Linked DNA regions of Anolis sagrei. The protein of the gene in region 2 binds, or shares a complex with, the protein of the main gene of each other region. Links are inferred from orthologs where the notes say so. Each region holds a gene or a part of one and is shown on either strand. Other genes may lie near its edges. The genes, in order: CRCP and POLR3F.

What was found.
Region 1: POLR3F (region 2) and CRCP share a complex: the UniProt entries of both Homo sapiens proteins name them as parts of the RNA polymerase III complex. The link is inferred for Anolis sagrei from reciprocal best matches to the Homo sapiens genes POLR3F and CRCP.

Annotation. Positions count from the first base shown.
Region 1 is NC_090031.1:27,641,106-27,653,344, forward strand, and holds the start of CRCP (DNA-directed RNA polymerase III subunit RPC9), read right to left. Parts: upstream 6,070-12,239; 5' UTR 5,977-6,069; coding exon 5,969-5,976; intron 5,963-5,968; exon of another isoform or gene 5,887-5,962; coding exon of another isoform or gene 5,885-5,886; intron 2,888-5,884; coding exon 2,851-2,887; intron 2,438-2,850; coding exon 2,339-2,437; intron 456-2,338; coding exon 361-455; intron 1-360. Other genes in the region: ASL (argininosuccinate lyase), read left to right, coding at 12,133-12,144. UniProt on the Homo sapiens protein: DNA-dependent RNA polymerase catalyzes the transcription of DNA into RNA using the four ribonucleoside triphosphates as substrates.
Region 2 is NC_090024.1:133,271,325-133,283,503, reverse strand, and holds the start of POLR3F (DNA-directed RNA polymerase III subunit RPC6), read right to left. Parts: upstream 6,239-12,179; 5' UTR 6,159-6,238; coding exon 6,115-6,158; intron 4,984-6,114; coding exon 4,866-4,983; intron 1-4,865. Other genes in the region: DZANK1 (double zinc ribbon and ankyrin repeat-containing protein 1), read left to right, coding at 9,282-9,390. UniProt on the Homo sapiens protein: DNA-dependent RNA polymerase catalyzes the transcription of DNA into RNA using the four ribonucleoside triphosphates as substrates.

The DNA.
Region 1 (12,239 bases), on a different chromosome or scaffold from region 2:
CGTATTCAGGAGTTAAAAAGGACCAAAGGCTGAGATTCCAGGCAATAAGACTACCTCAAAACAAACAATCTTAATCCTAAGCAATCACTGCGTCCTTCTATGTAAACAGTGTCGTTTTCCCCAATGCCTTCTGTCTGGCCAAAGGACGAGGAAAGAACCACGCACTTTGCTCCCTGGAACCATCAGGCCCGGTTGGCTGCTGAGCTTTCTCAGCTCATGTTTGCTTTGATAGGACCATTCTTTCGGGACCATCCTTTGCATCCCATTGAGCACCAGATACAGCGTGAGAGGCAATCCCGCATCTCCATACCTGCTTCGGCTCACCTGGAAGGACTCAGTCATTCCCATTTCCTCACTTACTTGGTCAACTTGTGGATTTTCATGGCCGCGAGGAAGTCGCTCACCACTTGTGGGCTCTGGAACTTGCAGGGCGTCTTGGAAATGCATTTCAGGGTCTGAAAGGATGGGGAGAAAGGCAAAACTCAGCCCCATTCCTGCCTCTCAAGCCAAATGAACTGCAAATTGATTCAGCGAGAGAGAAGCTGCAGCATTTGTTGTTCTATTGGGAGGTGGAAAGAATTCCCACAACAGGAAGGAAGGGAGGGAGGAAAGAAGGGAAAAGAAAAGAAGGAAAGAAAGAAGGAAGCAATACAATTATTGGAGACAATGGAAGAAAGGAAGGAAAAATGGAAATGAAAGGGAAAAGAAAAGGAAAAAAGAATACATACATTGGAGACAATGTAAGAAGGGGAAGAAGGAAAGGGAGGGAGAGAAAAGAAGGGGAAAAGAAAAAGGAAGGAAAAATGAGTGAGGAACAAAGCAATGCAAACATTGCAGACAATGGAAGAAAGGAAGGAAAGACTAGAAATGAAAGGGAAAAGACAAGGAAGGAGGCAATTGGAGGCAATGTAAGAAGGGGAAGAAGGAAAGGGAGGGAGGAAAAAGAAGGGGAAAAGAAAAAGATTAAGTAAGAATGAGTGAGGAAGAAATCACTACAAACATTGCAGACAATGGAAGAAAGGAAGAAAATACTGGAAATGAAAAGGAAAAGGAAAAAAGAATACATACATTGGAGACAATGTAAGAAGGAGAAGAAGGAAAGGGAGGGAGGGAAAAAAGGGAAAAAAGAGGAAGTAAAAATGAGTGAGGAAGGAAGCAATACAAACATTGCAGACAATGGAAGAAAGGAAGGAAAGACTGGAAATGAAAGGGAAAAGAAAAGGAAAAAATACATTGGAGACAATGTAAGAAGGGGAAGAAGGAAAATGAGGGGGGAGAGAAAAGAAAGGGAAAAGAAAAAGAGGAAGTAAGAATGAGTGAGGAAGGAATGAGGCAATACATATATTGAAGGCAATTTTTTCATGTCAGGAGTGATTTGAGAAACTAAGTCGCTTGAAGACAATGGAAGGAAGGGAAGGAAGGACGGACAGACAAAGAAAGGAAGAGAAAAGAAAAGGAGGAAGTAAAAATGAGTGAGGAAGGAAGCAATATATACATTGGAGACAATGGAAGAAAAGGAAGGAAGGGAAAAGAAAGTGAAAAGGAGGAAGGAAGAGTGAGGAAGGAAGCAACACATACATTGGAGACAATGAAAGAAAGGGAGGAAGGAGAAAAGGAGGAAAGAAGAATGAGTGAGGAAGGAAGTAATACATACATTGCAGACAATGGAAGAAAGAGAAGAGAGAGAGAGGAAGGAAGGAAGGGAAAAGAAAGGGAGGAAAGAAGAACGAGTGAGGAAGGAAAAAATACATACATTGGAGACAATGAAAAAGGGAGGGAGGGAGGGAGGGAGGGAGGGAGGGAGGGAGGGAGGGAGGGAGGGAGGGAAGGAAGGAAGGAAGGAAGGAAGGAAGGGGGGAAAGGAGTAATACGTATGTTGGAGACAATGAAAGAAAGGGAAGGAAGGTAGAGAAGGGAAAAAGAAATGAAGAAATAAAGTAAGTAAGGAAGAAATATATATATGAATGAAGCAGGAAGGAAGGAAAAGGGGGCCTGAAGAAGTTGAAACTTTTAAGCGTATTGATGTCCAAAAATGGGAAGGGCTTTCGCTGGGTTCATTATTTTTCCTGAAGGCAGACTTTCTAAACCTCCCAAGACTTGGTTCAAGGACGCCCACATTTACTCGGATGGCAGGGAGTTTCTGAGACAACAGAAAAGTGCCCAACGATGCTCACAACGAACACATCGGCACAAGCATGCTGTCATCAACGGGAAGAATACGCACATGTCAGAATGGGGATTTTTCCAAGGGAAGAAAACATAGCGTGAGAGAGAGAGGCAACAAAACCAGAGGGTTTTCTATGTCCACGGATACCAGGAACCCCCCGAAAGGACTCACTTCGTACATGATGGTGTTCAGGTTCTGCTGCCCGGCGCTCGCTTTGCTCTTCCCCATCTCTCGCCGCTGCTGCTTCAGGTCCATCAGCAGCTGGTAGACCTGAAAGGAAACCCGATTTGCTCTTTCACGGGGGCCGCAAAGCACTTTCCAACAACATTCCCATCCGCGATTGCTATGTAAACCAAGCCAGGAAAAGAGAGGCGCCGTTGAGTTTCCCACCCTCTGCTGGGACCGTTCTGCATGGCACTTTTAGAGCGCTTTGGTCCCATTTCAACTGTGAAGCTCCCTTATCCGGGAATCCGAAACGCTCCAAAATGGCCATTCTATGAGAGGGCCTTTGGGCAACCTGGCTCAAGGCAGGTTACGGCATAATCAAAACACATAAACATAGTAAAAACTTATAAATGCACATATAGAAATGTACTTTGATAAAATGCATATGAAAATACACAGAGCAGAGATGAAACACAAGGCATCAGAAGTCCAATTAATTATGCCACAAATGGTTTTACCTCATAGTTGCTCAGAAGGGCTGCATTTCCGTCTTTCCTGCACAACAAAACAAACAGGCAGGATTAGGCCTTTATGCAGGCGATCCTGGCTCAAGAAGACAGACTGTTTTCAAAGCCCAAAGGAGATATTTTCTTAAAGGGCAGCTTCCTCATTTCGAGCCAGATTTTGCTGAAGTCAGATAATGTGTGTCCAGAGGAACGCTGGGAAAATCCAGACAAATGAAAAGATAGATAGATGATAGACAGTTGACAAGTGATTGATAGACAAATGATTGATAGATGATAGATAGTTGGCAAATAATTGATAGTTGACAGATAGTTGACAGATGATTGATAGATAATAGATAGAAACATAACAAAGATAGCTGACAGATGAAAGATAGATGACAGATAGTTGACAGATGATTAAAGATAATAGAATTATAGATAGAAAGATAAGATAGTTGACAGATGATCGATAGATGATAGAAACATAACAGAAAGATCGTTGACAGGAGATTGATAGACAGATGAAAGATAGAGGACAGATTGTTGACAGATGATTGATAGATAATAAATAGATGGATAGATAGATAGTTGACAGATAATTGATAGGTTATAGAAACATAACAGAAATATAGTTGACAGGAGATTGATAGGCAGATGAAAGATAGATGACAGATAATCGATAGATGATTGATAGATAACAGATAGATAGATAGATAGATGACAGATAATTGATAGTTGATAAACTGTTGACAGATGATTGATAAACAGACAGATAATAGTTGGCAAATCATTGATAAATAGATGATAGTTGACAGATGATAAGATAGTTGAGAGATTATTGATATAGATGATATATGAGATGATTTATCTGTATAGCTCGATGATTGACAGATGATTAATACAGATAGAAAAATGAGTTGAGAGAAGACAAACACTAATAGATAGATAGTTGACAGGTGATTGATAGACATATGATAGATAGATGATAGATAAATAGTTGGCAGATGATAGATACATAGATAGATAATTGGTAGATGATTGATGGACAGATGATAGATAATAGAAAGATAGACAGATAAATAATTGGCAGATGATTAATAAACCAGATGATACATATAGTTGGCAGATGATTGACGGACAGGTGATAGATAGATAGTTAACAGAAGGTAAATAGTTGAGAGAGGATTGATACAGATAGATAGTTAACAGATGATGGATCACCTTAATAACAAACCGACTGAATCTTGTTCATAACTGAATCTTGTTCATATCTATCTATCTATCTATCTATCTATCTATCTATTAACAAAAACACCGAAGGGCCGTGCGGAAGGGCCCCCTCCATCCATCCATACATCCCAGAGACAAAGGCCTTTTTTCTGCTGAGCCAGCAAAGAGCGCAGAAACAACAACAGTGCGGCGGCCACAAAAAGCGCTTCTCGGGGGGCCCCGCACGTACCTAAAAGCACAATGTATTTGATTTAGTTCTGAATCGAACCCGCTGCGCTCATCACTTTCGGGGCAAGTTCCACGCCGCCTCTTCCACAAACTTCCACAGGTTGGGCGCATTGTTTTGGTGTTTTGTTTTTTAAAAAAAACAAATCGGGGGGATTCAAAAAAAAAGAGGGGCTCCCCTTCCGGAAATATGCTGAGAAGGGAGTTTTCGTTTTTTGTGCTGACCCCAAAGACACGTCAGCCGTAGCAGTGGCTTTGCTCCATATATGTTATACTGTATATTTAATTCTTTGGGAGTCTTGGGAAGCTCGAATGAAGAGGAATCCTATGGGGAGATAGATATATATGTCTGTGTGTGTGTGGTTGGCTTTTTGGTCGGCAAAAGAACCAACAAAACCTACATATTATTGATATTACAATTAATAATATAAAATTTATATATATATATATATATTATACATACATTGCTTTATCTTATATATTAATATATTAAGTGATATGTATGTGTATATATATGTACATATATGTATGTAAACATCTCATCAATATCCCTCTCTATATATTAAAGTGTATATATATATATATAATACATACATTTTAATATATTAATATAGTATATATATAATATGACATATAAGCATTATCCCTCCCTCTCTATACAGTATATGTATGTATGTGTGTATATATATATATATATATATAATTTTAATATATATGTGACATGTATGTATAAATGTTAGTACATATATTATACATACATTACTTTATTTTGTTATATTAATATATATGTATATAAGCATCTAATTAATAGCCCTCTCTGTACATTAAACAATATATATTATACATACATTATTTTAATATATGTATATTAATATATTATAAATATATATTAAGTGATGTGTATGTGTGTGTGTGTGTGTGTGTATATATATGCATCTAATCAATATCCCCTCTATACATTAAAGTATATATATATATATGATACATTATTTTTATATATTAATATTAAAATAATGTATGTCTTATATATATAGATATCACATAATTGCATATATTATGTGATATGTATGCATATATAAGCAATATCCCTCTCTAATACAGATTAATATAATATATATTAAAGCATATATTGCATATATTTAGTATTATATTAATATAATGTGATATGTATATACATGAATTCTATATAAGCATTTAAGTAATATACCTCTCTATATACATTTATATGTGTGTAGTATATATTATGTATTATATATATATATACATTACTTTATTTTAATGTTATACATATATAAATAATATTGCATACATTATTTTAGTATTATATTAATATAATGTGATATATATATATATATGAATTCTATATAAGCATATAAGTAATATACCTCTCTATATATATTAACATGTGTATAGTATATATAATGTATTATATATTAATATATACATTTCTGTATTTTAATCTGTTATACATATATAAATAGAACATATAAATGTATATATAGTAGAAGCATCATCTCCTCTCTATGGCTTAATATATCCTATTTCCTCTCTATAGCTTAATATGAATAATTCTATAAGCAACAAAACATACATATTAATAATTCAGATTCCCTCGGGTTCGCCTCCTGGGCCTGGCTTTCCTGCCATTTCCCCTCCTTCCCTCCCTCCAACTTACACTTCCATCTCGCTTCCCAGGAGGAGAATTAGGGAAAAGGCGGGACTTCAGGCCGGAAGAGGAGGAGACTGAGAGGAAAGGGGCGGAGACTGGGAAAGGGGTGGAGCTTCGAGACAGAGGAGAAAGGGGGCGGAGACAAGCAGGGTAGGAAAGGGGGCGGGGCTTCAAGCATGAGGCAGAAAGCGAGGCGCTAAGGACGCCGGGAGATGAAGGCGGGAAGGCGTGGCCCTTGCGAGGGAAGACGGCCGGCTGAAGGGAGGGCGCTTTCTTCAAGGACTACAACTCCCAGAATGCCTTTCACTTGCAAGACTTTTGGCGGGAGAATAGCCACTGGAGTCTAGGGCTGTGATACTTCTATCAGAAGCCCCACTTCACAATCTATTATTATTATTATATATTCTTCTTCTTCTTATAGCATCTACCAATCCGCAGAAAGGAAGGTCAGTTCCCCCCAAACCCCTCCAGCCATTAAATTTCGGCCTATCAGGTCTGTGTGCCAAGTTTGGCCCAGATCCATTAGTGCTCTCTGGATGTAGGTGAACTACAACTCCCTCAAATCAAGGTGAATATCCCTCCAAAGCCTCCAGTGTTTTTTTTTGCTGGTCATGGGGGCTTTGTTTGCCAAGTATGGTCAAATTCCGTCATTGGTGGAGTTCAGAGTACTCCTTGATTGCAGGTGAACTATAAATCCCAGGATCTATAACTCCAAAGTACACAGACGAATTCCCCTCAAAACTCACCAATATTCAAATTTGGGCATATCAGGTATGCATGCCAAGTTTGGTCCAGATCCATCATTGGGTTCACAGTGCTCCCTGGATATAGGTGAACTACAACTCCCTCAAATCAAGGTAAATTCCCCTCAAAGGCCTTCTGCAGCTGGCAGATGATAATTTTGTCAGCGCGGATTGTGTTTAAGTGCAGGCCAAGGTCTTGAGGCACTGCACCCAGTGTGCCAATCACCACTGGGACCACCTTGACTGGCTTCGGCCAGAGTCTTTGCAGATCGATCTTTAAATCCTCATTTTTTTTCTCTTCAATCCTGCTATCGCCTGGAATTGCAACATCGACGATCCAAACAGTATTATTATTATTATTATTATTATCATGGCATATCTACCAGTTTCCATGGGGGCCAGTTAATTGAAAGACTATTATTATTATTATTATTATTATTATTATTATTATTATTGTGTCATATCTACCAATTCCCATGGGGGCCAGTTGATTGAAAGATTATTATTATTATTATTATTATTATTATTATTATTGCATATCTACCAATTCCCATGGGGGGCAGTTAATTAAGAGACTATTATTATTATTATTATTACTCCATCTACTTAACCCTATAGATACTTTGAATGAAGGGAGAGCCTGCTGCCTTGCATTGACTTCTATGGCCTTTAAGAACATTTAAGAACTCTCCTATGATTTCCTTTTAGCGTCCATGGAAGAGGTCGGACTTGGCAGCAGCCCTTTTTGGCAGCGAATCAGTGCAAAACATTGGCATCTCTCCCACCTTTCATGCCATTGAAGGTTACTAGGCCAGATCTAGATGCCAATTGTGTTGTGTTGTGTTGACTTGTTTTGTATGCAAATGAACTGTGGTCTAAGGGCATTAACAAACACCTCTTATTTCCTTTTATATTATTAAGGCTTTTGAGCGCCCATGGAGGAGGAGGAGGCCTGCTATTCTTCCCTTTTAGATGGTCCAGGCCTTTCAGCATCTGTGACGGAGGTCCAATTCATAGGTATATCATATCTTAGTACAAGGTAAAGGTTTTCCCCTGACATTAAGTCCAGTTGTGTCCAACTTTGGAGGCTGGTACTCATCTCCATTTCCAAGCCGAAGAGCCAGAGTTATCCGTAGACACCTCCAAGGCCAAGTGGCTGACATAACTACATGGAGCACCCTTACCTTCCCGCTGAAGCAGTACTATTGATCTACTCACATTTGTATGTTTTCGAACTGCTAGGTTGGCAGAAGCTGGGCTAACAGCAGGACCTCACTCCACTCTCTGGATTCGAACCACCAACCTTTCACTCAGCAAGTTCAACAGCTCAGCGGTTTAACTCACTGTGCCACTGGGGGCTCCTTTATCGTATCTTATTATACCATATCATATCATGTGTATTTCCGGCTTTAGGGAAAGGAGCCTCTCCTTCCTTCCTTCCTTCCTTCCTTCCTTCCTTCCTTCCTTCCTTCCTTCCTTCCTTCTCTCCCTCCTTTCTTCCTTCCTCTCCTTTCTTCTTTTCTTCCTTCCTTCCTTCCTTCTTCCTTCCTTCTTTTTTCTTTCCTTCACTCCTTCCTTCCTTCTTCCTTCCTTCCTTCCTTCCCTCCCTCCTTTTTTCCTTCCTTCCTTCTCTCCCTTCTTTCTTCTTTCTCTCCTTCCTTCCTTCTCTCCATCCTTAATTTTTCCTTCCTTCCTTCCTTCCTTCCTTCCTTCTGTCTTTCTTTCTTTCCATCCTTCCTTCTCTCCCTTCTTTCTTCCTTCTCTCCTTCCTTCCCTCCTTCTTTCCTTTCTTCTCTCCTTCCTTCCTTCCTTCCTTCCTTCCTTCCTTCCTAGTCTCCCTCTTTTCTTCTTTCTCTCCTTCCTTCCTTCTCTCCATCCTTATTCCTTCCTTCCCTCCTTTTGTCTTTCCTTCTTTCTTTCCTTCCTTCTCTCCCTCCTTTCTTCCTTCTCTCCTTCTTTCTTTCCTTCCTTCTCTCTCTCCTTTCTTCCTTCTCTCCTTCCTTCCCTCCTTCTTTCCTTCCTTCTCTCCTTCCTTCTTTCCTTCCTTCTCTTCTTTCTTCCCTCCTTTCTTTCTTTCCTTCCTTCCTTCCTTCTTTTCATTCCTTCTTTCCTTCTCTCTCTCTCCTTCCTTCCTTCTTACACACCTTTGTGCCCTTTTCCACCTCTCTCTTTCTCATGAAAGATAGTGCCATTATTATTAGTAGTAGTATTAATAGGAGCCCCAGTGGTGCAGCGGGTTAAATCGCTGAGCTGCTGATCTTGTTGAATAAAAGGATGGCGGTTCAAATCCGGGGATTGGGGTGAGCTCCGCTATGAGCCCCAGCTTCTGCTAACCTAGCAGTTTAAAAACATGCAAATGTGAGTACCTCTTCAGCAGGAAGGTAACAGTGCTCCATGCAGTCATGCCAGCCGCATGACCTTGGAGGTGTCTATGGACAATGCCGGCTCTTTGGCTTAGAAATGGAGATGAGCACCAACTCCGAGAGTCGGACATGGCTGGACTTCATGTCAAGGGGAAAACCTTGACCTTTACCTTTTTATTAGTAGGAGTATTTGCTGATGGCTCCAAAGTCTTTCCGTGTTGTGCGTGCGTGCAAGGGACAGAATTGGAAAGCGCACACGCATGCAGGGGGGCCCCCATTCATGCCTGGGGAAAGTGTGCCAACTCAGCGGATGGATGGATGGATAGATAGATAGATGGAGGGCTGGAGAGAAGCCCCTTTTTTCTTCCTCTCTTTTCATCCCTTCCTTCCTTTCTTTCTGGCTCATTCAGGAAACACAATGCCCAGCGGCCTCATGGGTGGCTTTGTCTTTTTGGCTCCCTTGTCATCCTTGCTTTGGAAACGAGGGCGCTGACCCTGCCATTCACGCAGGAAATGCAGACTGGACCCTTTCCTTTATTGGCTCCCTTTTTGTTGCTTTCCCCCCATTGAGCGGGGCAACCGTTTTTCTATACGTCAATGTAAGAATAACACGTATCACACAAAGGGCTTATCCATAGAAAGAGGTTGCTGAAGACACGAGAAAATGGGTGGCCATCACGTGGACCTCCAGATTCCTGGGCTGCCATTATTATTATTATTATTATTATTTATAATATTAATAATAATAACCTGCTTTTCCCCTTCCAGATTTCTAAACTGCACTTCTTCCTCCTCCTCGCTGTCTTCTTCCTCTTCTTACTATCATCAGCATCTATTATTATTATTATTTACCCACTTCTCTATCACATTATTATTATTTTCTTTCACACCTCTTCTTTACCAAGTTATTATTATTATTATTATTATTATTATTATTAATTTCTTACACATCTCTTCTCTACCGGATGATAATGATGATGATGATTATTATTATTATTATTATTATTATTATTATTTTCTTATCCACCTCTTCTCTACCACATTATTATTATTATTATTATTATTATTAACCTTTTCTCTACTAAGTTGTTATTATTTTCTTACCCACCTCTTCTCTATGTTATTATTGCTGTTATTATTGTTATATTATCACACTTCTCTACCAAATAATAATAATTACTATCATCCTTTGCAAATTATTATTTATTATTATTAACCCATCTCTCCTCTACCAAATTATTATCTTTATTGTTACTACTATTATTATCATCATCATTTTCATACACACCTCTACCAACTTAACATTATTTTTATTATTATTATTATTATTATTATTATTATTATTACAGGAGCCCCCGATGGTGCAGTGGGTTAAACCCTTATGCTGGTTGGACTGAAGACCTATAGGTCACAGGTTCGAATCTGTGGAGAGTGCAGATGAGCTCTCTCTGTCAGCTCCAGCTCCGTGCAAGGACATGAGAGAAGCCTCCCACAAGGATGGTCAAACATCAAAACATCTGGGCGTCCCCTGGGCAACATCCTTGCAGATGGCCAATTCTCTCACACCAGAAGCGACTTGCAATTTTTCAGGTTGCTCCTGACACGAAAAAAAAATATTACAGACCTCTTTTCTACCAATTTAACATTATTATCTTACACACCTCTTCTTTACCAAGTTGTTATTATTATTATTATTATTATTATTATTATTATTCCACCACTTCTCTACCACATTATTATTAGTAGTATTAATATTATTATTTACACACCTCCTCTACCAAGTTGTTGTTGTTGTTGTTGTTTTCTTACATACCTCCTCTCCAACGAGTTATGATTATTATTAATTATTATTATTTACCCACCTCTTCTTTACCAAATTATTATTATTATTATTTTCTTACATAGCTTTACTTTACCAAGTTATTTATTATTATTATTATTATTATTATTATTGTTATTTACCAATTTCTCTACCAAGTTAATGTTCTTCTTATTATTATTAATTTCTTACACAGCTTTACTTTACCAAGTTATTTATTTATTTATTATTTACCAATTTCTCTACCAAGTTAATATTATTATTATTATTAATTTCTTACACAGCTCTACTTTACCAAGTTATTATTATTATTTATTTATTTACCCACTTCTCTATCAAGTTAATATTATTATTATTATTATTTTCTTACACAGCTCTACTTTACCAAGTTATTATTATTATTTATTTATCCACTTCTCTACCAAGTTAATGTTATTATTATTATTATTAATTTCTTAATCAGCTCTACTTTACCAAGTGATTATTATTATTTATTATTATTTATCCACTTCTCTACCAAGGTAAGGTAATTATTATTATTATTAATATTAATAATAATAATAATTTTGTACACGCTCAATTTCTCTCCCAATAATTATAATTGCAATTGTTATTATTATTCGTATTATCCAGATCTCTTCAATATAACGCAGGACCATTCCTGTTTTCCCCCCATCTTATGACATTGATGGCCAATGAGGATAATTCTCTTTATTGATTCCTAGATCTCTCCAAAATAACCCAAAATCGGGGGCCAGGACATTCCTATTTTATGATAATGATGATGGAATTATGATGACGAAGACCTTTTCTTGCTTGGAAAGCGTATGTATTCTTTCCCTACAATTGGGCTGTGTGTGCAATTTTGAAGGCTAGAACCCAGTCGTATGGCCCAGGGAGGGGGCGTGGCCAGGGAGGGAGGGGCGTGGCCTCCCATTCATGCCTCCTCCTGGCCCCGCCTCTTGGGGGCGTGGCTTGTGCAGGGCATTCCCTTCAAAAGGGAGACCCCTGAGCCTTGGAGCAGCAGTAGCAGCAGCAGAGCTTCGGCTGGCATTGAAGCAGGTGAGAGGAAACAACAATTGCAATCTATATATACATATATAGATTTAATTATATATAATTATTTTGCAATTAAAAAGAAAGGCTAATTCATGAGACCCCTTTTCTATATATATATTTCCCTCCCTATTTTTGCAGGTTATTATTTTCTCCCATTGAAAAGGAACAGAACATCCGTCGCCAGACATGGCATCCGAGGTGAGCGAAATGTTCAGACTTTTCCCTCCCTCCAAAAAAAATACCCATGTCCCATTTCCTATAGGGAGGGTTTTATTGTAGAGCCTCCAGTGTTA
Region 2 (12,179 bases):
TTTTTTTGTATTTTAACTAGGATCTAACTAGGGATTTTTCCTTAAATGTTTATGCCTATTAGTCTTCATTTGCAGTTACTGCAAGTCTTAACTTTTAAAGTCACTCAGCACAATCTGTAATGTGTGAGTGTGTGAAGTCAAGTGTGGAAAACAGGCACATTTGATTTGTTTTTGCTCAGTGCTTGGAAGTAACACAATATACTGGAAGGCTGAGGATGGTTACAAGAATGTGACATTTCAAAACATAAGAGTGTAGCCATTCTATTGATAAAACAATGCCTTTTAGTTATTTTTGAAAGTTGGTTTTAAAGGGCATTTTGAGAAACATTTTGACAGTATTTTTAAGAATACTCATGTCAATAAATAGAACAGGTTATCCTTTCAACAATGTAATATAGGGATGCCAAGCTTCTTTTCATGGATGGCCAAATCAGCCTTATGGTTGCCTTCAAAGGGCTGTTAAACCCAGTGGATACAGAGGGGCAACGAAAATTACTTTCCATAGTGGCCAGTGCTCTTTAGTTTTTACTCAGTTTGGGTCCCCAGATGATACTGAATGTCAACTCCCATCATTTTTTATTATCTGCCATGCAGACTGGGGATAATAGAAATTGTGTCTCAGAGGTTGAGGAAAGGTTAAAGGACATTTTAAAGTCAAACATCATAGCCTTGTATCTAAATCCTATTATAGCCTCCCGCCATTTCACTGATTCTCAGGCTGTCTTCACATACTTGAGTTGTCATTTTACACAAATGTAAGGTACCTCTTTTAGTATAAAGAAGGTCATTGTGTATAATGGGACTTGAGCTGCCACTAATTTTAGTGTCCATAGGAGGCTACTGGCATCAAAGCCCTAGGACCCACTATAAACAATCATACACAAAACTCAAATGCATGACTGATCTACATTTTTCAGAAGTCAATATCCCATCTTTCCTTCAAAATGATGATCCGAAAGTATAATATATAATCTGTATATATAATAAAGAAGAGTGTTTGTTTGTATAGGACAGAGGGAGGACAGAGGAAGGAAAGAGGGCGGACAGAGGGCGGACAGAGGGAGGGCGGTGTATGTGCCAGCGTTCTGATTGGCTGCCGCTGTGGTGCTATTTGCATATGGTCTCTGATTGGGCAGCTTCAATAGGAGCCCCTGGTGGAGAAGAGGGTTCATGGCAGAAACAGGGCATAACAGAAGGAAATTTGTATATGGGCTCTGATTGGCCAGCCTCAAACCCAACATTCCGAGATGAGAAAGAGAGGAAAGGAAAGGCCGGGGGCTGGGTCAGAACACTCCCAATACAGACCGAAATAGGCACACAGAGCCCCCATCACCCACTCTACATCCTACTGCAGTTTGGAGGAGGATGAACCATGGATGATGGGACTTGCAGTACCACCACTCACATTCTGAGACCGCTGTTAACCTTATCCAATTACTGATCAGGACCACACTTCGCACAGAGACCTCTCATGACCCACTTTACGTCCTGGTGTGGTTTGGCCGGGGATGGACCGTGGATTATGGGACTTGCAGTACCATTGCTCAATTCTTCAGACCACTGAACCCTCATCCAATTACCAATAAATACCAAACTTGGCACACTGAGTCTCCATGACGCACTCTACATCCAGGTGCAGTTTGAAGGAGGATGCACCATGGACGATGGGACTTGCAATACCTGCACTCCCTTCCTAAGACCATTACAACTGCCAACGATGATGGATCAGGAACACAATTTACACAGAGACCCAGCATGACCCACTCTACATCCTGGTGCAGATTGGAAGAATTTAACAATGGATGATGGGACTTGCAGTCACTTCACTCACTTCCTGAGACCACTGAGACCCTCGCCAATGACTCATCAAGACTAAACTTGGCACATGGAGCTTCAATGACCCACTCTACATCCTGGAGCAGTTTGGAGGACGACAGACCATGGATGATGGGACTTCAAGTACCTCCACTACCCAAGACTGCTGCAAAACTCATCTAATGACCAATCAAGACCAAAGTTGGCACACAGAGCCCCCATGACCCACTCTACATCCTGCTGCAGTTTTGGAGAAGGGTGGACCATGGATGATGGAACTTCCAGTACCTTCACTCACATTCTGAGACCTCTGCAAACCTCATCCAATGACTGATCAAGACCAAACTTGGCACATAGACCTCTCATGACCCACGTTACGTCCTGGTGTTGTTTGGAAAACTTTGGAGATGGATGATGGGACTTGCAGTACCTTTGCTCACTTCCTGAGACCACTGAGACCCTCGCCAATGACTAATCAAGACTACACTTGGCACATGGAGATCCAATGACCCACTCTACATCCTGGTGCAGTTTGGAGGAGGACAGACCATGGATGATGGGACTTCAAGTACCTCCACTCCCTTCCGAAGATGGCTGCAACCCTCTTCTAATTACCAATGAAGACCACACTTGGCACACAGAGCCCTCATGATCCACTCTACATCCTGCTGCAGTTTGAAAGGGGATGGACTTTGGATGATGGGACTTGCAGTACCTTCACTCACTTACTGACACCACTGCCACCCTCATCTAATGACTGATAAAGACCAAACTTGGCACACAGAGCCCTCATGAACCACTCTATATCCTGCTGCTGTTTGTAGGAGGATGGCCCATGGATGATGGGACTTCACGTACCTTCACTCACTTCCTGAAAATAATGCAGCCGTTATCCAAAGACCAATAAAGACCAAACTTGGCATACAGAACCACCATTACCCACTTTCTCTAATAACCCAGGCAACGCCGGGTCCCCAAGCTAGTATATAATAAAGAAGAGTGTTTGTATCGGACAGAGGAATTGTGGAGGGCGGAGGGCGGACGGCGGACGGTGTATGTGCCAGCGTTCTGATTGGCCAGCCAGAAAGTTCCAACATTCCGATTGGCTGGGCAGCGGTGCTATTTGCATATGGTCTCTGATTGGCCAGCTTCAAGAGGAGCCCCTGGTGGAGAAAAGAGTTCATGACAGAAACGGAGTCATGAGAAGGAAATTTGCATATGGTCTCTGATTGGCCAGCCTCAATTCCAACATTCCGAGATGAGAAAGAGAGGAAAGGAAAGGCCGGTGGCTGGGTCAGAACACTCCCAATACAGACCGAAATAGGCACACAGAGCCCCCATCACCCACTCTACATCCTACTGCAGTTTGGAGGACTATGAACCATGGATGATGGGACTTGCAGTACCACCACTCACATTCTGAGACCGCTGTTAACCTTATCCAATGACTGATCAGGACCAAATTTCACAAAGAGACCTCTCATGACCCACTTTACGTCCTGGTGTGGTTTGGCCGAGATGGACCGTGGATTATGGGACTTGCAGTACCACTGCTCAATTCTTCAGACCACTGCAACCCTCATCCAATTACCGATAAATACCAAACTTGGCACACTGAGTCTCCATGACGCACTCTACATCCAGGTGCAGTTTGAGGGAGGATGCACCATGGATGATGGAACTTGCATTACCTGCACTCCCTTCCTAAGACCATTACAACTGCCAACGATGATGGATCAGCACCACAATTTACACAGAGAGCCTGCATAACTCACTCTACATCCTGGTGCGGTTTGGAAGAATTTGACAATGGATGATGGGACTTGCAGTCACTTCACTCACTTCCTGAGACCACTGAGACCCTCGCCAATGACTCATCAAGACTAAACTTGGCACATGGAGCTTCAATGACCCACTCTACATCCTGGAGCAGTTTGGAGGATGACAGACCATGGATGATGGGACTTCAAGTACCTCCACTATCCAAGACTACTGCAAAACTCATCTAATGACCAATCAAGACCAAAGTTGGCACACAGAGCCCCCATGACCCACTCTACATCCTGCTGCAGTTTTGGAGAAGGGTGGACCATGGATGATGGAACTTCCAGTATCTTCACTCACATTCTGAGACCTCTGCAAACCTCATCCAATGACGGATCAACACCAAACTTGGCACATGGACCTTTCATGACCCACTTTACGTCCTGGTGTTATTTGGAAAACTTTGGAGATGGATGATGGGACTTGCAGTACTGTTGCTCACCTCCTGAGACCACTGAGACCCTCGCCAATGACTAATCAAGACTAAACTTGCCACATGGAGCTCCAATGACCCACTCTACATCCTGGTGCAGTTTGGAGGAGGACAGACCATGGATGATGGGACTTCAAGTACCTCCACTCCCTTCCAAAGATTGCTGCAACCCCCTTCTAATGACCAATCAAGACCACACTTGGCACACAGAGCCCCCATGATCCACTCTACATCCTGCTGCAATTTGAAAGGGGATGGACTTTGGATGATGGGACTTGCAATACCTTCACTCACTTACTGACACCACTGCCACCCTCATCTAATGACTGATAAAGTCCAAACTTGGCACACAAAGCCCCCATGACCCACTCTATATCCTGCTGCTGTTTGTAGGAGGATGGCCCATGGATGATGGGACTTCAAGTACCTTCACTCACTTCCTGAAAATAATGCTGCCATTATCCAAAGACCAATAAAGACCAAACTTGGCATACAGAACCGCCATTACCCACTTTCTCTAATAACCCGGGCAACGCCGGGTCCCCAAGCTAGTATAATATAAAAACAATCCTAAACAAAAACCAAAGATTTAGGTGTGCTAGAATTAATGGTAATGTGGCATGCTCCTTTTGATAAAGAGACAGATAAAGAGACAGAAGATAGAACCAACAGCTGTTCTATCAGTTTGCAGACCCAGAAGAACTGCTACTTTAAAAGGAAGTATAATAAACCACTATATTTTATCCAGCATTTTTGAAGACATACTTTCATGCAAACTTAATAGGCTTTTTACCATAGAGAGCAGTCTGTTAATGGCCATGGCTCGTTGCTGAGCTTCCATGTGAGGCATATCATTCTGAATCACCTGGTCTGTGATGCCATGAGGAAACTGATGGCAAAGCTCAATGATCCTAGACAAAGTAGGAATAGCAAAAAAATAAAAATAAAAAGGGATCACCACACACAAAACTCAAAAACGCATTAGCCAATGTATTTTATTTAAAACACAGAAACCCCACCTTTTATTAAAAGTGGTGATAAACAGTAAGCACACACAAATACAACAAAAACTAATATAAAGAACAATGATCAAGAAAAGAGTCCCGTTGCTCTTACCCCTGTCATACATTGACTGTCTCTATTGGTTAATTCTGTACAAAAGAAAGCAGTTCTTGCCTTAGGAGTTCACACCTCCAGTATCCCTCACCGTAAAGGCTCTACCAGACAGGCCCTATTTCCCAGGATCTGATCCCAGGTTTTCTGCTATAACTGGATTATATGAGTCAACACTGTATCAGATAATTTGGGATAAACAGAAAACCTGGGATCCGATCCTGAGATATAGGGCCTGCTTGAAAAGGACCTACTTTTCTTATCACCCCAAGTTTTAGCATACTGCCCAAGACTACATAATAGTACTTATTTTGAACATTGGTGTTAATTGTGGAAAAGCTAAGACTGTAACATATATAACTGCAGCAATATTTGCTGAGGAAGTGGTCAAGGTTACTTGAAGTACCGCATCTCTTTCTATGAACCTGATTAAACAGCTACAATCCTCTGGATTATATGACTGTCTGGAAAGGCCCATAGTATTATATGTGCTGCATAAATGTATACAGCAGTAGTTCTCAACCTGTGGGTACCCAGGTTTTTTGACCTACAACTCCAAGAAATCCCAGCCACATCCCAGTTTACCAGCTGTTAGGATTTCTGGGAGTTGAAGGCCAAAGCATCTGGGAACCCACAGGTTGAGAACCACTGGCATACAGGCACCTTAACATTTCCACACAAACACTCTTACAGTAGTCACTATACACTTATTATCACCACTACATTCCAATTCTTTAGCCTTGTTTCCCTTTATTCTAGGACCCTTCCATGCAGTCATATAACCCAGAATATCAAGGCAGAAAATCCCACAATATCTGCTTTGAACTGGATTATCTGAGTCCACACTGTCATATATTCCAGTTCAACGCAGGTAATGTGGGATTTTAGTCAGCTACATGGAAGGGCCCTCAACACTTTGTCCTGCCCACCTGTTTTCGATTTCCAAGGGCTCTGGGGCTTTCAACTCCGCCATCACTCAAAGCTCTCCTTCCTCCGACCATGCAGACTGTGGGCGATTCGGCGTCAGGCAAGCGGCGCGCTCAGATGACGTCAACAGGCTGCGCCCAGAGAAAGCTGCGGTTGCCACGGAGACCAAGCCAGTCGCAGACTCTGCTTTGCCTCCCAGCCAGGCGGTGAGTTCTGAGAATCAGAGACTGACGTGGAAAGTGGAGGGGAAAAGGGAGGGGCGTGGATTTTGCAGGATAAAGGGATTTTTCTTAATGGAACTGTATGCTGAGCCTTCTTCCCAAGAAGGGGGTGATGCCCTTGTTGTCCTCACAGCAAAGCAATGAGAGGCAGGTTAGACCAAGGCCTGCTGCTCAGGGGCAGAGTCAAAGTGGGTTAGAACTCGTCAATGGTAATACAGGCAGTCTCTAAGGCCCCTTCCACACAACTCGAAAATCCCACATTATCTGCTTTGAACTGCAATATAAGGCAGTGTGGACTCCGATAACCCAGTTCAAAGCAGATGTTGTGGATTATCTGCCTTAATATTTGGGTTATATGGCTGTGTGGAAGGACCCTAAGTTATGAACAATTTTTATTTATTTATTTATTTGTGGCATTTCATCATCATCATCATTTAATAACTTATTAATCGCTCTCCATCCGAGAATGCTCTAGGCGATTTACAGCTAAATTATAAAAGATAAAATACATACATACAAAAATTAAAAATTAACATTTCTATGCCGCCTTTCTCATAGAAGGGAGGCGACTCAAGGCGGCTTACAATTGGCACAATTCAATGCCACGATGGTCATAAATATATATATATACACACACATACATATACATATACATATAATATTATATATTGTGTGTGGCTAACATGGCTCAGAAATAGCAGCTGAGAGAAGGAAACAAGGCAACAAACTACAGGCATTCTGTATGACTCAAAAATGCCTGAACAACTCAAAAGTTAAGGTCTACGCTACAGTTATTCGCCCAGGGCCCTTCCACACAACCCTATATTCCAGAATATCTACTTTGACTGGGTTATCTAAGCACACTCAGATAATGTGGGATTTTCTGCTTTATTATTCTGGGATAGAGGGCTGTGTGGAAGGGCCCACAGTCATATAACCCAGAATATCACAGCAGATCATCCCACCATATTTCCTTTGAACTAGGTTATCTGAGGACTCTTTCACACAGCCTTATAACCCAGAATATCAAAGTAGATCACCCACAATATCTGCTTTGAACTGGGTTATCTGAGGACCATTTCACACAGCCTTATAACACAGAATATCCAGGCAGATCATCCACAATATCTGCTTTGAACAGAGAGCTCTTCCTCACAGCCATATAACCCAGAATATCAAGACAGATCATACCACAATATCTGCTTTGAACTGGGTTATCTGAGGGCCATTTCACACAGCCTTATAACACAGAATATCCAGACAGATCATCCACAATATCTGCTTTGAACAGGGTTATATGAGGGCCCTTCCACACAGCCATATAACCTAGAATATCAAGGCAGATCATCTCACAATATCTGTTTCCAAACTGTGTTGGGACACATTCATGCATCACCTTCAGAATTTAGGTTTGTCATGTGAACAGAAGAGAAAACCTCTGGGTCAATATAAAATAAGCAATAAATCATATATTTCTTATATATAAATTACAAGTTTCATGAGGTACGTTGTATTTCCATACATTTTTGGTACTGTTCCATTATCCAGGTGGAAGCTATTAGAGGCTGCTAGAGAGAGAAGGATACTTCATTTTATGGGAAGGAGTTGAAGGACGAAAATAATTTCCCCTGTTTTTGGAGATTATTTCCCCTCTCTGCTTCCCATATCATAAAGGAGGGTTGGGCAGAATAACAGGAAAAGGGGAGGGATGACTTTACTCCTTCAACCCACTGTCCACCCCCCATATAATCAAGTATCCTCTCTCTCGTGGCCCCTAATGGTTTCTGCCCTGATAATGGAACAATGCCCATTTTTGTTATGACATGTATGTTTCTACGTCTCTTACAAGGAGTTGATTGCTAGTAAAACTGAATTACTATGTTATGAAATGATACCTGTCTAAAAAGATGTGTCACCAGCATTAAATCTTTGGAAAGCTCTTCTTTAAGGTGTTTCGGCTGCTTGCTTGGCTTCCCAAAGCTCCTTGGAGTTGAAAAAACTCATGCCATGCCATAGCTCCCAAAATAAAATGCACAAAGAAGCTGTATGACACCAGTAGCTTTGAAGAAGTGGAGGAGAACCCATGGATAAAAACCGTATAATTGTTAGGCCACAATTTAGGGGCAAGTGACTTGAAAATATAGGAGTTCAACTTTAGGTTTTCCTGAATAGTAATGATATGGGGCCCTTCCACACAGCCATATAACCCAGAATATCAAGGCAGAAAAATCCCACAATATCTGCTTTGAACTGGGTTATCTGAGTCCACACTGCCATATATTCCAGTTCAAAGCAGAAAATGTGAGATTTTATTCAGCTGTGTGAAAGGGGCCCTACATTCCTTTCAATCTGGTTTTAAGACAGCCTTTTGGAACTTAAACTCCTTCAGAAAACTTTTATTTAATTAGGTCAGTCCCAAAGGATACAAAGTTTTCCAGAATGTTTCTCTGGGCTAACATGGTTCAGAAATAGCAGCAGAGTGAGGCCCCTTCCACACAGCTGAATAAAATCCCACATTTTCTGCTTTGAATTGGGGTATCTGGCAGTGTGGACTCAGATATTCCAGCTCAAAGCAGATATTGTGGGTTATTCTGCCTCGATATTCTAGGTTATATGGCTGTGTGGAAGGGCCCAGAAAGAACCAACAGTTCAAAATTCTAGCTGTGTGTAATATACAGTGTGTGCTTGTAGAAAAACTAATGACATTATACTATGTTATTATTCTACTTTAACTACCCTGGGAACATTGTATGGGGTCTTGGAATTTGCAATTTGAGGAGGCAAATTTGAACTGCATTATATGGTCAGTATAGAAGGGCCCTTATTCCCAGAGGGGTAATGTAGATAAATCCTTCAGTTGGATTTATTGACTTAAATTTTCCTTGCTGTACTATGTTTATTTATGGGTTTTTTTTCTTTTGGTTTTTTAAAAACAATTGTAGGAAAAAATGACTGCTGGCTCCATCCTAGTGCCTCAAGTTATACCACTTCGTATCTCGACATCAGGAAATGCCAAACATGAAATAGATACAAATACACTTGTAGAGTTTAAATCAGGTACATGCATGCTATAAATCTCTTCACATATTTGATAAATATACAACTTAATATTCATTTTGTTAATTCTTGTTTTTATTTTGCTTGTCATTTTTGTCTTTAAAATATCTTTCAACCTAACAGGAAAATTATTGGAAGCAATAAACAATTTGTTTAAAAAACAGCTTTCTCATATGTCTTCTTCCATTTCCTTTACATATCTCTGCAATGGATTATAATTATGTTTTTCTTTCTCTGTTTAATTTTTTCTGCTGCCATGTACATTCTTATGTATTAGGCTTTAGCATTGTTGTATACGTTACACTTGCATTTAATTATGTGATGGGCTTATAGACAGTATACTTATTTTTTTAGCTTCAATCTGTCCTGTGAGGAATCCATGAGCAAATGACAATGCTGCATGAGATTGTCAATGACACCCAACTTCCTCATCCAGAGATCTTTCCATCAGTATCAAGGGAACTTATTTCTCTCTACTATTTAGGCTCTGGGTTCAATAGCTTTTTTTTCTTTTCACCCAAAGCTTCTAGTATATTTTTACCTTTACTATAAATCTTCTTTTCTTTTCCGCTTGTGAGGTCCAATATAATTAAAATGAATACACTTCGATAACTGTTGTTGTTGTTCTTTAAATTGCATGGGAACTTTCTAAACTACTATCAAATCACATTTCATTTACATTGTTTTTTTTAAAAAAAATCATAAATCACAACTTTCCACTATCACCATTGTGACAAAACATAAATCTCTTTAATTTTTCCAAGGGATCATCCAATCCATAAGCTACTACAAAACCATAGGTTCCTGCTCTCTCTCTCTCTCTCTCTGTGTGTGTGTATGTATGTATGTATGTATGTATGTATATATATATATATATATATATATATTCAAAGCTTGGCAGAGTTTATTTACAAATAACATGTTACTTGTAATCAATTTATTTTTTGTAAAAACTAAAACATACAATTTTCCATGGTTTGGAGTGCAAAACAGTTTACAACGTAATCTGAAAATAAGAGAATTGTGATAAAAATGCAACAAATTATTGACATATTAAATAAATAAAATGATTAAAACAAGTTCAATTAAAACAGTTTAAACTACATAAACCTATACTGTACATAGATGTGTTTAGGTAAAAATTGCAATGTTTAAAAGTCTAGCACATCCCAAACCGTGGATTGTAACAAACTGACACCTCTATGGGTCTCCTGAAATTATGACTTAGTTACAAGACACAAAATTGGACACAGGAATATTGCATGATTCAGATGCTGGCTTATGCTTCCATCTTATGTTCTATTATAGGTGATATACTTTTTTGTTTTTTGATTAACTGGCCTTTTATGATGAGACACACAGTTTGCTGTGAATAATTGGTTTATATCACTGTTTGTGTATGTGACCTGATCCACTAAGATTTTTTAATGAATTTTAATGCTGCCAGCGTTCTGTGCTCACTATATTGGATGAGGAAAACAAGTGTCTATGAAAGCAGCATAGATCACATAATACTGGGACAGAACATCATTTAGATTTTCATCCATGGTAGCCTGTCAACAATAGACAGCAGCTTCAGCTATAGGGTTTTTTTAGAACTGGGAATGGATTAGTGTAGCATACAGTCAAAATAGAAAGAAGAAACTAGCCAACTATATCCTGTCCACATTTATTTATTTATTTACTATATTTATACCCTGCCCTTCTCACCCCGAAGGGGTCTCAGAGTGGCTTACAATAAACATATTATATTATAAAACAGTTAAAACATATAGATACAGTAAACAGATTAAAAACATACAAAGTATTAAGTCATGATTTCCATACTCCTTGGGTTTCCCATAGACATTGTTCAGACTGTTAGGTTGAGGTCGGATTCCGTGTTACCCTACTTCCTGAATGCCTGTGTACAGGAGGGGTGAGGTCAGCCTAATGTCATTGGGGAGGGAGTTCCACAGCCGAAGAGCCACCACTGAGAAGATCCTGTCTCTCATCTCCACCAGTTGCACTTGCGAAGGGGGTGGGACCTAAAGAAGGGCTCTCCAGCAGATCTTAAAGCTCTAGTTGTCTCATAAAGGGAGATACATTCAGACAGGTAAGTTGGACCAGAACCGTTTAGGGCTTTATAGGCCAAAGCCAATACTTTAAATTGGGCCCAATAGCAAACTGGCAGCCAGTGGAGCTGACATAACAGGGGGGTTATATGCTCCCTGTACACCACTCCAGTATGCCGCTAATTGGACTACTTGGAGCTTCTGGACAGTCTCCAAAGGCAGCCCCATGTAGAGTGTGTTGCAGTAGTCTACTCGAGATGTAACAAGAGCATAGAGCACTGTCGCCAAGTCTGGCTTCTCAAGGTATGGGTGCAACCGGCGCACAAGTTTTAATTGTGCAAATGTTCTCCTGGCCACTGCTGAAACCTGGGGTTCCAGGCTCAGTGATGAATCTAGGAGCCTCCCAAGCTGTAAACCTTTGTCTTCAGGGGGAGTGTAACCCCGTCCAACATAGGCTGTAACCCTATACCCTGTTCGGCCTTTCGACTGACTAGGAGTACCTCCATCCTGACTGGATTCAATTTCAATTTGTTTGCCCTTATCCAGACTGTTCCTTATCCAAACTCACATGGACATGAGTTTTCATTCCTAAAAAGTCTATAAGGCTTACATACCTCCACTGTAAAAGAAAAACTAAAAAGGAATCTCTATCGTTCATAGCTTGCCTTTCCCTTTATCTCTGGCTTACCCATTGTTCTCCATTTATAGCTTTTCAATCAGTTAGTCTGCCATTTA